Tamandua tetradactyla: one gene and its partner. The protein of the gene in region 1 purifies or fractionates together with the protein of each later gene. This does not show direct contact. Links are inferred from orthologs where the notes say so. Each region holds a gene or a part of one and is shown on either strand. Other genes may lie near its edges.

What was found. The genes of interacting proteins can lie anywhere in the genome.
Region 2: the proteins of KIF5B (region 1) and KLC1 purify together in Homo sapiens (co-immunoprecipitation; 11 studies listed by BioGRID and IntAct, counting the BioPlex papers as one, with this or other methods). This does not show direct contact. The link is inferred for Tamandua tetradactyla from reciprocal best matches to the Homo sapiens genes KIF5B and KLC1.

Annotation. Positions count from the first base shown.
Region 1 is NC_135327.1:219,148,191-219,155,746, reverse strand, and holds the start of KIF5B (kinesin-1 heavy chain), read right to left. Parts: upstream 3,092-7,556; 5' UTR 2,615-3,091; coding exon 2,489-2,614; intron 1-2,488. UniProt on the Homo sapiens protein: Microtubule-dependent motor required for normal distribution of mitochondria and lysosomes. Can induce formation of neurite-like membrane protrusions in non-neuronal cells in a ZFYVE27-dependent manner.
Region 2 is NC_135340.1:89,202,326-89,210,045, forward strand, and holds the start of KLC1 (kinesin light chain 1), read right to left. Parts: upstream 3,201-7,720; 5' UTR 3,076-3,200; intron 1-3,075. UniProt on the Homo sapiens protein: Kinesin is a microtubule-associated force-producing protein that may play a role in organelle transport. The light chain may function in coupling of cargo to the heavy chain or in the modulation of its ATPase activity.

The DNA of each region.
Region 1 (7,556 bases):
TTTTAGATGTTGCATTGCAGCAATTCCCTCCTAAACTACATATTTTGAATTAGGATCAGGATCCAGTAGGTTTAACAAAACAAACCTGGAGAGGATTTTTGTTTAGAGATTTTTTAATTTCACCCTTCCCAGCTACCGTTATAATTCCAAACAAGCTTTTTTTAAAAAATAAAACAGTTCATTTAATAAAGTGAACAAAAATATGAGGCCTTGAATTAATGTACTTACTATATGCAAGAAATTAATTCTCGAAAATAATGAACTATGTTGCCTCACATTTTTCAAGGCTAGTCACTCAGTTGTATTTTTGCTTATACTATGTTGCTGTTCTTTTTTTTTTTAACCAGACTAAAATGCCTACCAGTTTATCTTAAGGTCAACTGTTATTAATTGATTCACAACTCAATCACCTATCCATTATTTCCAATATTATCATTTAAATTTATTAACATTTCCAAGGAGGTTACAACTTAACTTATTCCAAAGGAAACTACTTAGAATAGACATATGCTTCCCGTGGTAATTATTTGTTTCTTTTAGCTCTTTCCTCATTTTATATGTCATATTTGGGCTGCAGTAGAAGGTTGACTTCCAACCTATCCTTAATACAATTTATGAATTTTAAATTTTAGCATTCTAGCAAAAGAGTATTAGCAATGCTTACAGATACTGCATACTCAAAAAACCTGGAGAAATAAGACATTCTTAATACAAGCTTTAAAGGAAAATAGCTTTGATGTGTCAAACACTGTTGAAACTGGGAAATCACAAAAACTCTGAGAAACTAGACGCCTGATGTATGCCAACTAACAACCCAGGCCCTGCAAGCTTCCTCTGATTCCATGCAAAGAAGACAATTCTAAAGGAAAAGATGACTGATTTCTTTTGTACTTAACTTCTTGTCTTCCCAATGATGTCATTAATAGCAAGAGTTTTTCTTGTGGACTTGTTAACAAAGAAACAGCCTGACAGTCTTCACACAGTAAGAGTTGGCAGTTGTGTTAGTGATCTAATGACTTGTTTGCCAAAAGCCTACCAAGAGCAACGTGGAGCTAATGCGTGCATTTTCTAGAGCTGAATTTTGGGAGCCTTCACATAAAACCTCAAAGGAGTTATATGCTAATACTTACAATCATCAATATCCCATCTCCTGTGGCTTCTTTGCCCTCATTTCCAAATTAAGCTACCCAAACAACATAGTAAATACAGATGCCATTAGGGAAAAAAATCAACATGTTAAAAATTGGTACCACGAAAGCCACGCAGAAAAAAGTTCTGCCACATGCTATTACCAAGAAAGAAGAATCTTATTTTTGGCCACAGTTCACTATTCTGTATGCAGTATCTTACTATGCACGTTAACCTCCTTGAACTGGGAATGTTATTTTCAGAGACCTTTTGGTTATGAAAGACACACTTCTGGTAGGGATATGCCTTCCTCTAGAATTCTGACTAGCATTGTTTTCACGTCCTATGGGATTATACCATATTACATTTTCAGAAGCATAAAAATCAGGTATCAAAAAACAACCACCTCACATTCTGCTCCCCTTGACAATGATAAACCAATTCTAGTTAAGTTATGCTTTACCCTACAAAGGGACACTAGGTCAGCATCGTTGGGATTATCTAAATGAATTTTCTTCACCACGGATTCTAACTGTTAAGTATGACTCTAATACCAAGAATGAGAAATCTAGTTCACTGGTCAATTTCTATCTTTTTCAAAAGTTTGCTTCTTATAATTCTTTCTGATATACACCAAATAGTAAAGCTCTTTCCTAGATAATTATATCATAAAACCCAGTAAGGGGGAGATTTTGGATCCTTCTGGGCACTTATTTGACCGATCTGACTATTCTTTTTAGGTCTCGATTCGCCATTTGCTTTTGTTAATAAGAAAAGTCACTCATAACTCCAAAGGCTGGTGAGTGAACATCTGAGGTACAAGCATATTTGAATTATTTTGCTAATTTTTCTCCTCCCGAGACAGAAACAATACGGTTGAACATGCAGTTATATATTTCTATAAAACAAAGCCATCTCCTCTATTTAAGTTACAGTAGGGCTGGCCTCATAGTTCAATATTGCTAGCTGAACTACTTTCTCCTAAGTATTTTATGAATGGGGGTTGTCCAAAACAACAAGCACCACCAACAGTAACTACACACACACACCTAAACAAACGCAACTATGCACTAAACTTGCTCCCCGGATGGTTCCTCCAGCGCCCCGGGTGGGGGAGTGTCCCAGCCTGAGTCTAGGCACCTCCCATCACCGGGCACCGAAGACCAGGGTGGGGACGATTCAGAAAAACCCAGGCAGCTGCGCAGTCTTCCTATCAACGGTTATCTGAACCGGCAAACCCAAGTGGGGAGGGCTGGGACACCACTACTCCCTTCTCAACTCTGCACCTCGCCATTGCCCTGAACTCCCCGACCAGCCAGGTCCGATGACCAGGGACGGGCGGGAGGGGGGAACCACTCACCGCCATCATGACCGTGTCTTCTCCCTGAAACTTGGCGACGTACTTATCGCCGCGGTTCACTTCAGACTCGTTGAGAGGTCTGAAGCGACACATCACTTTGATGTTGCACTCGGCCGGGTCCGCCATCTTCCTCGCCGCCGGGTCTGGAGGCCGGGAGCCACTCCCCGCTGCTTAGTCTTGGAGAAAGCAAGCACGAGCTGATGAGGTTCTGGTCTCCGGGGAGCGCCAGCGAGCCCGGGTCGCGGGGGTACGGAGATTCCGCAGACGCCGCGCCGCGCGTCCCCGGGCGGGGCAGCCGGGGAGCGGAGACTGGAAGCGCCGGCGCCGGCAGCCGTCGGCCTGAGGCTCACTTCCGATCCATCATGGCAGCCATGGCGGCGGCACTCGGCAGAGCGTCCCGCAGCTCCCCAACTTCTCCCTTGTCGGCCGGGGCAGACTGCGGGACCTCCGGGAATTCTGAAGACCCAGAATGCCGCCCCCTCCTTCCTCCTCGAGAAAGAGCCCGCCGGGTTGACCTGTCTGCCCTCCCGGTAGTGCGCTCGCCGGCTTGCGGGAGACCGCCTGATCCGACAGTCTCCAGGGCGCAGGCGCAGGCGCGGCGACCGGGCGGCGGGGAGCTGAGGGGAGCTAGGGGGTGCGGCGGCCAGCGGGGGAGGGCAGCTCAGGGCGGGGCGGGGACGGCGCAGGCGCAGGCGCGGCGGGGCCGAGGCACTCGGGCGACCAATCAGCCGGCACCTCCCGCGACCGTTCCTCGGTGAGGAGCTGCAAATTCAAGTTTCTCGGAATGCTACCTTGAAAGACCGCGTTTGGATACTCCCCGCCGCCTGCCACTGATATTCCCCAGCGCTTTCTTTTCTTTGTCGGGGGTTGGGAGTTGTTTAAACAGTTCGTGTAGTATGTTTTAATAAAATGCTATATTCCTAAAAGGAAGCGCTTGCTTTAGTTTTGTTCTGGAGGAGAAATTGATTCCTAGCCCAACTTTTTTAGAACGGCTGCTCAGACAAAGGAAGAGGATTTGGATGAAGAGTGGAACATGGCTTTCTCTTTAAGAGGTTGCTCCTTCCTGACAGTCGGCTGGGGAGACCAGAATAAAAAAGGAAAAAGAAATTCCCTCTAGGGAAGCGAGAAAGAAAGTTGCTGAAGAAATACGGAACACTAGGGTGAGGTGTGTGAGGCCATCGGTGAATCGGAGGGTTCCACTTCGCTGATAATAAATTTTAAGACATTATCAATCCCAACATCTGAGAAACGACTGAGCTGGAGTTAGCAGAAAGATGTTCTTAAAAGGCTCAGGTAAACGTGTGTATTGCAAGTCTGAGGAGCACCCCGCCACGGTTGATTTCGCTTCCTCTTTTTGGAAGGATGTCATAGAGGATATATAGCTTCATGTGTAAATGACTGAGGCTCTGGGGAAGGAGAACTGAAAAGACAGTTAGGAACTCTTTTTCGGTCTCCAGTTTTTGTTTGTAAAATGAAGGCTTGGAATGAAAACCTCCAGTGTGCCTTCCTGGCCCAATCATCCTAGTACCACCGAAGATTAACCCACAGCCCCAAAAGATTCAGGTTTTTGAACTCGTTGCAATGAGGAAAAACTCACACCTGGGAGGAACCCTAGGGCATCTCACCAAACAAAGGAAAAGATGGAGTTATCACGGGATTAGGGAGATGTATGGAGTTTATGTAAAATTTAGATGAAACACTGTTTTGAGAAGCACAAAGCGCAGCACACCTGTGTGAGTCAAGGGGTCAGTACCGGGACTGGACCGGCTGTGTGAGTCAAGGGGTCAGTACCGGGACTGGACCGGCTGTGTGAGTCAAGGGGTCAGTACCGGGACTGGACCGCCAAGTGGACCCAGGGTCCTGTTCCTTTAGAAATTATAAAGGTGAGAGACATGGAATGTAGTCTTCAGAGACCCCTTCTCCAAAGCTCTGCACCTGGCTTGGAATTTGAGGCTTCTTTTCTATGTCTTCAGTCCTCCAGGTGACACTGGGATGTTTCATTCTTAATGCTATAATCTCTAACAGCAATTTCTGATAGTCTGATTTTAGAGATCAAAGTTTCTCAGTAAGAAAGCAAAAGTCACTCAAAGAATGGGATCATTGTGACTCTTTACAGATGCAACATGTCCTTGGGAGAAATACTATTTCTTGTTAACTTTGCAGCTGGCTTTATGTGTATTTGTTAGTCCAGTCTGGTGAATGACAGATTTTTACTCCAGGGATGACAGTGCTTTCCTTCCCTAAGACTAATTTTTCATCTGCATTTTCCAACTTCATCTACTCTCTGGATCCTATTAATGGTCCCCATCTTCTAACAACTTTGATTTCTCCCTTTTCTCAACCTCTCTAAAGGGGTGTGTGTGGGGGGGGGGGGAGAAAACAAATATGTTTATTCTCCCCGTCTGTAAAACAACAACAAAATCTAACACTTTTGGTGTCTGTTGTTTTTAATCTTTTTTGCTGCCATTAAGTAGGTGAAGTTTATTAGAAGGGACCGTGTTCACCTGGACAGCCGCTCCTTCATCTAAAGGAGGCAGTGGGGACTCAACTTCCTCCATGGGCAAGATAGGCTAACACTGTCAAGTCTTCCTATTTTCAAGAAAAGCCATAACCCAGATTTTGTGAAAACTCCCAGTTCTTAAATAAATTGCCCATTTATTTAAAAATAATTTAAATAATGTGTACGCTAGGTAAAACATTCCTGCAGGCTGTAGATGTCAGATGGGCCACCAACTTTCAGCCACACTGCAGCAGAATTTCTTGAAGGCTTTGTCCTCTGCCCACTGCTCTTCTCTATGAGCTCACTTCAACAGTTGTCAAATCTGTGTCAATCCCAGCTTTTCACTTGTGTGACATTTCCATCTCCAGTTGCCTAGAGGCCACCTTGTTTAGAATGCTCTATCATAATCTCAAAATTAACTCTGCAGAAATAAAATTAATTATCCTCTGCTCCCTGCCAATATTTAATTCAACTATTCAGCTTTCCAGTTGTGATGATGAGTATCATCATCTTCCATACTCCCAGGCTAGAAAAGTTATAATCACCTCTTAACTCTGTTTCCTTCATGCCCTACAATCCAGAAAAGAAGCACAGTCACCCATATCTGAAGTTCCTCAACTTTTACTCCATCCTTCCCCTTTATAACCAGTTCAGAAGATATGAGGAATGATTGATTTAGAGTAGTGATTTTTAGACACCACTCCATGGATCCCTAGAGATTCCAAAGAAGTGAGTTAGGAGACTTCCTGGTTGTGGGAAGGGAAAGGAATGGTGAAAGGGCCAAGGAATGAAGTTCTAAGAACCTCTGCTCCTCATGGTATTGACCAACTTCTGTTGCCTTTCAAATCTTGACACTTCCTTCCCCTTTCCCAACAGATTCTGGAAGCTCAGGCTTTATGAAAACAAAAGCCAAAAAGGGAAGTGTCTGCAAGAGCCTTCTGTTTTCAGTCCTGAAACAGATACTTTTCAGCAAGGAAAAACAAAGATCTTGAGTGTCATCACTGAACCAGGGCAGAGAAAAACACTATGTGAAAAGCACAGATACAAAAATTATTCTGTCGTGCTAATAAAGAATAGCGGTACTAGGCAAAAACAGCTTTAAGAAATATTTTGTTAGGGGACCAAAAGATTGATAAAAAACTGGTTAATCCCAGTTTTCTTCCAAGTATAAAAAATGTTTTCATTATTCAGCCTTAGCAGTGGAACAGTAGATTTCTTTAAGAGTCCATTGAGACTCATTAATATAACTTTTCCTGGTGAAGATGTGAGTGGTACTTTCACCTGCACACAGTTAGAATATTAAATATCTGCTGTGGAAGAATCTCCAAAGATGATCCTCCAATGAACCAGGCCTACATGAATTCACAACTTTGTGTAGTCCCTCTCCTTTAATCTGGACCGGCCCTGTGATTCAGTAAATGTGGCCAAAGCGTGATATCTCATGACATCTGACAGTAGGTGAGAAGAAGCTTCAGAGCTTCTGCCTTGGTCTCTTCAAACAGTCTTTCTGGGAACTCTGAACTGCCATGTAACAAAAACAACTTCCCTGAGAACATCATGCTGGAGAGGCCATATGTAGTCATTCCAGTCAACAGAGCCAGCAGACCACAGCCTTACAGCCATCCCCACCTAGGTGCCAGGCATGGGAATGAAGCCATCTTGAACTGTCCAGACCAGCACATCCACGAGTTGAATACCACTGAGTAATCTCAGTTTATACCCCTTGAAGCAAATTCCTTACCCATTAAAATCCTGAGATATAATTAAAAAGTTAGTGCCTTAAGCTGCTCAGTTTTGAATAACTTGTTACATAGCAGTAAATAACTGAAATAATACCTTCCAATTTGGAATCCTGGAAATAATTCTATAAAATGTTACTTATGTATCATAGATATACTTAGATTGGACTATATTTTGTATTAATTTTAAATTAAGTAGTTGAAGGGAACCTAAGAACATAACCACTGTTTGTATCATTGTTAATATAAGAAAATTTCTTTTATAATTTCAGATGAAGTGACTTATTAAAAAATGGGCTTTCCCCAGTCTTGGGGTTTGTTCATATGAAACTTAACCCCACAGGGGTCAAGCCTACATAAAATTAGGCCTAAGAGTCACCCCTAGGAGAACCTCTTTTGTTGCTCAGATGTGGCCTCTCTCTCCAGCCAACACAGCAAGTAAACTCACCACCCTCCCCCTGTCTACGTGGGACATGACTCCCACAGGTGTGGCTCTTCCTGGCAACGTGGGACAGAAATCCCAGAATGAGCTGAGATTCAGCATCAAGGGATTAAGAAAAACCCTAGAATGAGCTGAAACTTTGCATCAACCTAGAAAAAGAAATAAAAAAGAAAAAGAAAAAAACTCATACATAATACATACCATACCCCATACCCCTCCCTCTCATTGACCACCAATATTTCCATCTACCCAATAAATTTTAGCCTCTGCTTCCCCTATTTTTTTCTATACCCCTTACCACTCCCTTTCATTGCTCACTAGCATTTCAATCTACTAAATTTATTTTAACATTTGTTACCCCATTATTTATTTATTTTTAATCCATAT
Region 2 (7,720 bases), on another chromosome or scaffold:
ATAAAATAAATAAATAAATAAATAAATGAAAAGCCATGGGCGGGCCACGTTGGCTCAGCAGGCAAGGATGCTTGTCTGCCATGCCAGAGGACCCGGGTTCAATTCCCAGTGCCTGCCCATGTAAAAAATAAAAATAAATAAAAGAATGTAAATGGGGGAAACAGCAACAAACAAAATAAAACAATTAAGTAAAATAATACTGTATTTTAGACAGCGATAACTGCTAAGGTGAAAGATAAAGTAGGGCAGGGTTTCAGTAACGTGGAGGGAAGGTGCAGGCTGCCACACTTCCAGAGTCCCGACTACGCCTGCGTGCTGGTGAGGGCAGCAGGGGCAAGAGGTGGGGGGTGAGGGCTGTGGGACAGCAGCAAGAACTCCAGCAGAGGACCATACGGTCTGACTCACATTTTAACAGTACCACTCCAGCTTTGCTCCCTGGATTCCTCCACTCCCAATCTTCCCCACCCCATTCCTGCCAGTGCCCCCACCATCACCCCATTGCAAGTCACCAAATCAGATCCCCTCTAGCCGTTAGTTAAACCCTTCTAATCCCACCATTCCTCTTGGTTCCCACCGCGAGAGTTTGCGCTCACCTGGACTCCTGCCAATAACTCCCAAACTAGTCTCCATCCTTCCATCTCTGTTCAAACCACCTACCACACCACTGTCTGCACCCGCTAATCAACTAGTACCTCCAGACCTCCTTAAGCCCCTCAGGAAGAGACCAGCCTCCTGTACAACCAAGACACCTTCCATAAGCTCATCTTTCCATTCTTACCCTTCAGCCCTTCCTAACATTTCCCCCTTACTGGAGGAAGACTTCACTCTCTGCACAGAACCAGCTCCCACCCATCGTGACTCAGATCAGGAGTCACCTCCTCTAGACCCTGCCTTCCCTGGTCCCCACCCCTTCTCAGCACACTCATCACATAATCTACCCTCACCTACGATGCCTAGCTGTTTAATTCTGGGTCTCCCTCACCCCACCCACCCAGACTAGAATTTCCTAGAGAATGACTCTCTTTTATCGCCATATCTGCAACTGCATGGCACAGAATCTAGCATTTAGGGAGTTTGGTCCTCAATAGACATTTGACGGTGGGTTTTTAAAACACCATGCTTTCATGATCTGAATTTGCTTACCATTTTTATTCTATTCCCTGCAGTGTGGTACTTAAAATTTTCCTTTACTCTTGTTTAAGATACACTACTCAATTATCTTTGTTATATAAAATACTGGTTTATCATACCACTTACTTGGTGACATATCTACTAAAAATGCTCCCAGATTCATTTTGTTCAATTTTTGGCTTTTTCTATTTCTAGTTTTCTTTTTACAGAATTATGTAACATGCTTAAACAGTTTTCAGACCTATATGGAAAGCTACATGTTGGCTTTTTAGACAACATTATGAAACATAAGGAAGAATATGTAATTTTAAAAATTGCAGTTAGTTTTTATTTATTGTGAAACACTGAAAACACTGTGCATCTTTCAGAGGACATTTCCTTCCTCCCTGCTAGCCTCCTTGGATCTGATCACTGTCCTCAATCCCCCATATTTTTTAATATGCCCCCTATGTATTGCCTAGTGTTTTTATAAGCAAACACTGCCAAGAAAAGTAACCCTGGGTCCAGTGAGGCTTCCACCCTGGCCTTCCAGAGTACTGGGCAAGGAGCACTACCAGCACCAGGGGTCAATATGACAGTGCATTCCTTGATGACTTGGGGAAAATTGTTTCTACCCTCCCATAAATAATTTCCCACAACCTGAACATTTTAGTAGTTAACGCCAGTGTATTCTTAAAAATACTTAGGAAACAACAATGAGTCAAATTTCCCTCTATGACAGGCTTGTTGCCAACCTGATTCAATTATGAGACTCAATGAGGTTGTTCCAATTTCCTAATGGGTTTTTCACTCAACTATTACAACTTATTGCCAGCTACTTGTTTTGATCAATGGCTCAGTTATGTTATACAAAACAAAGAACCAACCAACCAAACAAAAACTATGGAATTTAACTAATGCAAAGAACCAAATACCCAACTGCCCTTTCACACAGCAATTTAAATAGCATGTATCTTCACTTTTCCGTTGTTCTCATGCTTTTTAAAACACCACTTTTGCAAGTACTCCTTACCACACGCTGAAGATTCAACAACTCAAAGATAGAAAATACCTGGAAAAGACTTACAAATCTTAAGTTATAAAACCATGCAGTCCACCACGCACTGATTTTAGCTTTTAAATGCTTTATTTAATTTTAATTTTTTTTTTCAAGACAAGAGGGACGCCAAATTTTATAACCGAAAAAGTATTTCAAGACTGAAAAAAAAAGTGCTCCACGACGGAGGCTGCAGCATGCTAGGTGCAGCAAGGCCACTCTGAGTTAAGCCCGCGCACAGAATCTTTTCCCATCGGGTTATTAAAAGAAAGGGGCAGGCGACGCTGGACCTCTGCTGAACCCGGCCCCGGATGGAGGCCCGGGCGGCTCCAGTCGCCGACGAGGATGACAGGCGCGTCCGCCCAGGGCGGTGCCCGGGAGAGGGCGGGGGCGGAAGGAAGGAGGAGGATTCGGACAAAGCAGACCCCGGGCGGCGGCACTCCTCCCCACTAGCCCCGTCCCCGGGGCCGGCCACCACCCCGTCGCGGCGACTCCCGCGACCCGCAGCGGTCCCCGGGAACTACCGCCCCCGCCCGCCGCAGGGCCGAGCCCGGCGTGAGGGAAGGGGGGATGCGGGGGCGGGGGATGTTGGGCCCGGGATGCGGAGTGCCGGGCGGGGAATGCGGAGCCGGGAACAAGGGTGAGGATGGACACTGGGAACGGACCGGTGCGAGACAGGGAGCCGGGCAGGGGTACAGAGGAGTGGCCGGGAACCGGGAAAGGTTACCGGGCAGGAGCCAGGAGAAGCACCGAAAGGAGACCCGGGAGGAGCCGGGGACCGGGGCTGTTGTCGGGAAGACCCGGACGGGCATCGAACCCGGACGGAACCGAGACCTGGCCGGGGACCGAGGAGACGGCCGGGGCCAGGAAGGTGACAGGCCGGCGACCATGCCGCGGCCCTCACTCACCGTCCTGCTCCTGCGGGGGCCGCGCTCGCCACGCGCTGACAGGACGTGGAGGGCACGGGCCGCCGACGGGCCGCCCGCCGCGCGCAGAGAAGCTCGGTGTCTCAGGCGCGGCGCCGCGGTCACGAGCGAGAGGTGCTGACCCGGCCGCCGACCCGCAGCATCCTCGGCCGGCCGCCGCGCTGTCCCTCTCGGTCGCCGAGCGCAAGCACGAGGCTCCTCTCCTCGCGGCTCCTCTCCTTGCAGCCGCCGCCGCCGAAAGGCGCTCAGAGCTCCGCAGCCGGCACCGCTTCCGCCGCCGAAAATGGCGCCGAGCCCCTCCCCCGCGCCCCGCCCCACCCCACAATGCCGCGCGGCGCCCCTGTCATGACGTCACGGGCCCCCGCCGCCTGCGCGCGGGGAGACTGAGGCCCGGGAAGGCGTGCCTTTGATGGTCCCTGGCGGTCGGAGCGGAGCCCGTGGGGCTTCGTTCACACTGGGCCGGGACGTGGCGAGGCGTGCGAGGGCGCCGTCCGTGGGCTGCTCGCTGCCGCTCCGCCCGACGCGCTCGGCAGGGCGGCAGAGGAAAATCCGACTCTTCCCCTGCCGGTCAACGCCGCGCCCCCGGCCTCTTCCCACCCGAGGCCCGGCCCCTTTCAGCCTCATACATCGGGAGTGATATTCACTGACAGGCGCTCCTTGTGGCAAGCCCGGGTCGGAAGCCGTATTTGCTCCTTGAAATCGTACCTTGCCCCCTGCAAGGAGGCTTTCTGAGCTCCCTCTGAAGGAAGGGTTCCTGCAAGGCTTGGCCAGACCCTGGGTACGTTCGGGGTCTTAACAGCCGGGCCCCTAAAGGCCCAGGCCCTTGCGCCCGCCTCATCTCCCATTTCCCCTCCCTTGCCGCCAGGGCCCTGGATCCTCAAGAGTGTGAGCTTAGAGGGACTTTCCAGGCCCTCCTTCAAAGCCTACAAAGGCCTCACCCACACTGCACTTGGGGCTGGGAATAGGGGAAAGGGCAGGGTGCTGAACCAGCTACTGCCTGGCAAGAGAAGAGAAGCCCACGCTCTGCTGTCGCAGCCACTGGCAGCATCGCACACCCCTGCTGCAGTGCCTGGACCTCCAGGCCCCTGCAGGGCGGAACTTCCAGGTCAGGGAGGGCCCCGTGTATCCTGCTGCATTGCCAGCTCTGCAGGTCTGACTCAGCAGCCCAGCAACCGGCCTGGAGGCCGGGAGGACGGTGCTGATTCAGGGGGCAAGGCTCAGCTTTCGTTGCCTGCCACCAGCTTGGGAGAATCCTCCAGGTGCCTGAAATATCCCTGTGGCTTTAGGAAGCAGGAGGGCTTCCTGTGTCCGCCTGCATACCCCCCCCCCATTCTGTACTCCTTTCCTGGTGCCTGTCCTCTTCAGATGCTATCCCTATTTTAACCCTGCAGTTACGGGTCACCAGGGAAGTGAGTCTCCTAGGTTTTTCCAGGGAGGTCCAGTTATGTTGAAATATTGAAATATTTACAAATGCTAAGAAAGGGGGAGCACCTATGGTGACACAGCTGTTACAGAGCCCAAGAGTGAGACAGTGAATCGGACGGAGTCAAGTCCCTCCACTGGCCAAATCGCGCCTGGTTGTCACCGGCCTTAACTTGCCTGCTTCTCAGCCACTGCTGTAGGCCCAGGCCCAGCAACTGCAGGCAGGGGACCTGTGAGCATCCACTCTCTCCTGCGTAACAGGCTGAGCAGAGGCTCATTTATCTTTCTGTGCCTCTAGGCTCAATAAGTGGCATTTCCAAGCACCCATCACCCAAGCAAGAAACCTGGGGCCCTTATGCCCCACTTCTGAGGGGTGGCAAGATCCCACCTCAGTATTTATTTAACTCATCTCTTCCCGGTTCCCTTCACTGCCACAGGTGCAGGCTTTGTTATCTCATTCATTTATTCCTTAAGCAAATATTTCTTGAGCTCTTTTGATTCCCACTAAAAGAGCCAAGAATGTGTTGGTGAGCAGGGTAGAGAAGATTCCGGTTCTGCAGCAGTCTACATTCCAGTGAGAAGAGACAGATGGACAAACACATGAAGTGGGGAATATCTGAGCATGCCGTGCCATGATCAGGGTGAACATAAAATGATATGTACAACAGACATGGCTCAGAGACCACGCTGGGCAAGCAGTGAGGGATGGGCTCGGAGTTAGGGCAAGAAAGCTGAGACAAGCAAGGAAGAGACCAGGCAGCACAAAGGTGCAGGGCAAGAGTGCTCTAGCAAAGGTGCTCAGGCCAGAATGAGCTTGGAGGGTTGGGGACAGAACTGAAAGCTGGGTTCATCTACCCCACCCTAACATGTGAATCTAGTGATGTGACTTGAAGTGTTGTGATGCATCCACCCCTCTCAGGGCCAAGTTGAAACTCCTTAACTTCATCTGGAAGACCCACAGGACCCGGTCCTCTTGCCCCTAACACCCTCACCCATGCCCAAGCTCACCTGTTCCCTCCCATGGTCACACCCTGGATTTAAGTGTCCATTCTGCCCAGAATGCACCCCCTGCCCCCTTGTCCTGGCTCTCCTTCAAGATCAGCCAAGAGGTATTTCCTCCAAGAAGACTTCCTCTAAGCTCCCACCTTCCCTAGACTTCCCCCTATGCTCCTTTCCTTCACTATGTGGGCAGGTTACACAGCTGACACCCCCCTCTGATAGTGAGCCCCAGAGCTGGAGGCAACTGGACCCCCTCCTCACCCCCCCCACTGTGAGGGTGAAAAGAGAAAGGAAGGTCAGGGATGGCCTCCTCCAGGTCCTCTTTGCACGGAGCTCCCCTTTGGTGGAGCAGACACTTGAGGCACTCTGACCCCTGGAACTAAGGCCCATCCTCAAGAATTCCCATTCTCCCTTTGGCCAAGCCTTAAAGGGAACCATTAGCAGCCAGAGCTGCCACCCTCCACCCCTCAGCCTCCCTGGAGAGAAATCTGCCTGTCCTCAAAAAGACATGGGTGCTCTGCCTGAAGGCTGCAGGTCTGGTGACTCCGCAGTTACCCTGGGGGTGGTCTCAGGATCTGCCTGGCTGCCCGCTGGAGGGCAGGAGGGAAGGAGGGCAGGGCTGTCCAGGCAGAGGGTCGTGCCCGCCTTCCCTTCACTGCCCTCAGCATCCTCACTCCACTCGCTCTGCAAATTCTGTGATTTCTTGCTGCCTCCAGGAAAGGAATGGCTCCTCAGGTTCCAGAATCAAAACAGGGCCTTGTGCTCCAGATGCAGGCCCAGCCAAGTCATCATCAGTGTCTGGTGGGAACCTGGAAGCGGGGAAGGCCTTGGGGCTACTTCAGAGTCAGCAAACCAATTGCCTGTTCTTCCCCTAAACCAGGAGGTGCAGAGGGCCGTGGGAGCATAAGTGGCTGGGGGGGAGTCCCAGGGTGGACCAGAAATGCCTGTTTGCACAAGTCCTGGCTGTCTCTGAACACCTCTGAGGCCCCCAGGCTGTGGGGGATTAGCCAGCGGCTCTTCAGCACGCAGGGTGCCTGCACACCCTGAAAAGGGGGCCCCCGCCTGCCTCAGCCCCCTCCTCCCATCTCTTCTCTGCTTCCCTCTCTCCAAGGCTTCGTCCTCGGCCCTCCTCTGTTTTCTTCTCCTCCTAAGCCAGCCCCAGCTCCCCCACTGCTGTGCTCCCACACTGGAGAGAGTCACAGGCAGCATGGAAATCTGGCCAGGCTGGGGCAGAAGCGACACCCTTGGAGGCAGCCGCTAGGGCCCAGCAGACCCCAGGGCTGAAGTCCCTGTTGCAGGGGCAGTGAAAACGTCCAGCTGGGTCCCGTGAGGGCGCAGATAGCGACCTCTTGGAGTTTGTCAGGCCGGAGGCCTCACAGATAATCGGGGAGCATGCCACCCCGTATTCGTTCTGTCCCCATTGTTGACTGAGGACTGCATGTGTGAGGCACCCCGGGCCTGGGACACACAGTGGAGGAGGGACACTCGCTGGGCAGGTGGGCAGGCCCCACAGGTGAAGGTCAGGGGGAGGGCGCCGGGCCAGATGGGTGCTGAGCCAGGCAGTAATTGTCTTGGGGAAACCTGGGTTGGCGGGGGAAAGGGGGTGTCTGTTCTTTTAGCATTGATCATTTTCCTGTAAACTCTGGATTTCTGTCTCCCAGGACAGCCAGGAGCCCCTTTAGGGCAGGCAGGGGTTCTGGGTTCATCTTTGCTCCTGAGAACCCTGCACTGGTAGGCATCATCCTCAGTGAATTTAAGGGAAAGGGGGAGGGGGAGGAAAGAAAGGAGGAGAGAGAGAGGGAGGGGGAGAAGAGAACCCAAGAAGAGAGGAGGAAGGGCAGCAGCAGGGCGCGGGGAGCAGTCCTGGAGCGCGGTCTGCGGTCTGCAGGGCTCAGGCTTGGGGACGGGGCACGGGTGGGGCCTGGCCGGCATCCTGCCCACCGGGGTAGCCAAGGGGCCCGGGGCCAGTTCAGGCTCTGACCTGCTGCACTCTCTGGGTCTCTGGCTTTATGGTCTAAAGATGGATTTTATCAGATTTCCAGGTTCCTCTTGCGTGCCAGCTGCCAGGCGGAAAGTTCCAGTAACTGTTTCCTTCAGAACAAGGGGAACACCAGAACACACTCCCACTTTGGGTGGAAAGAGATGGCATGAAGGGGTGCGGTGGCCCACCCCACCCCTCTCGCTGGCCCTCTGGCCCTTTCTGTCT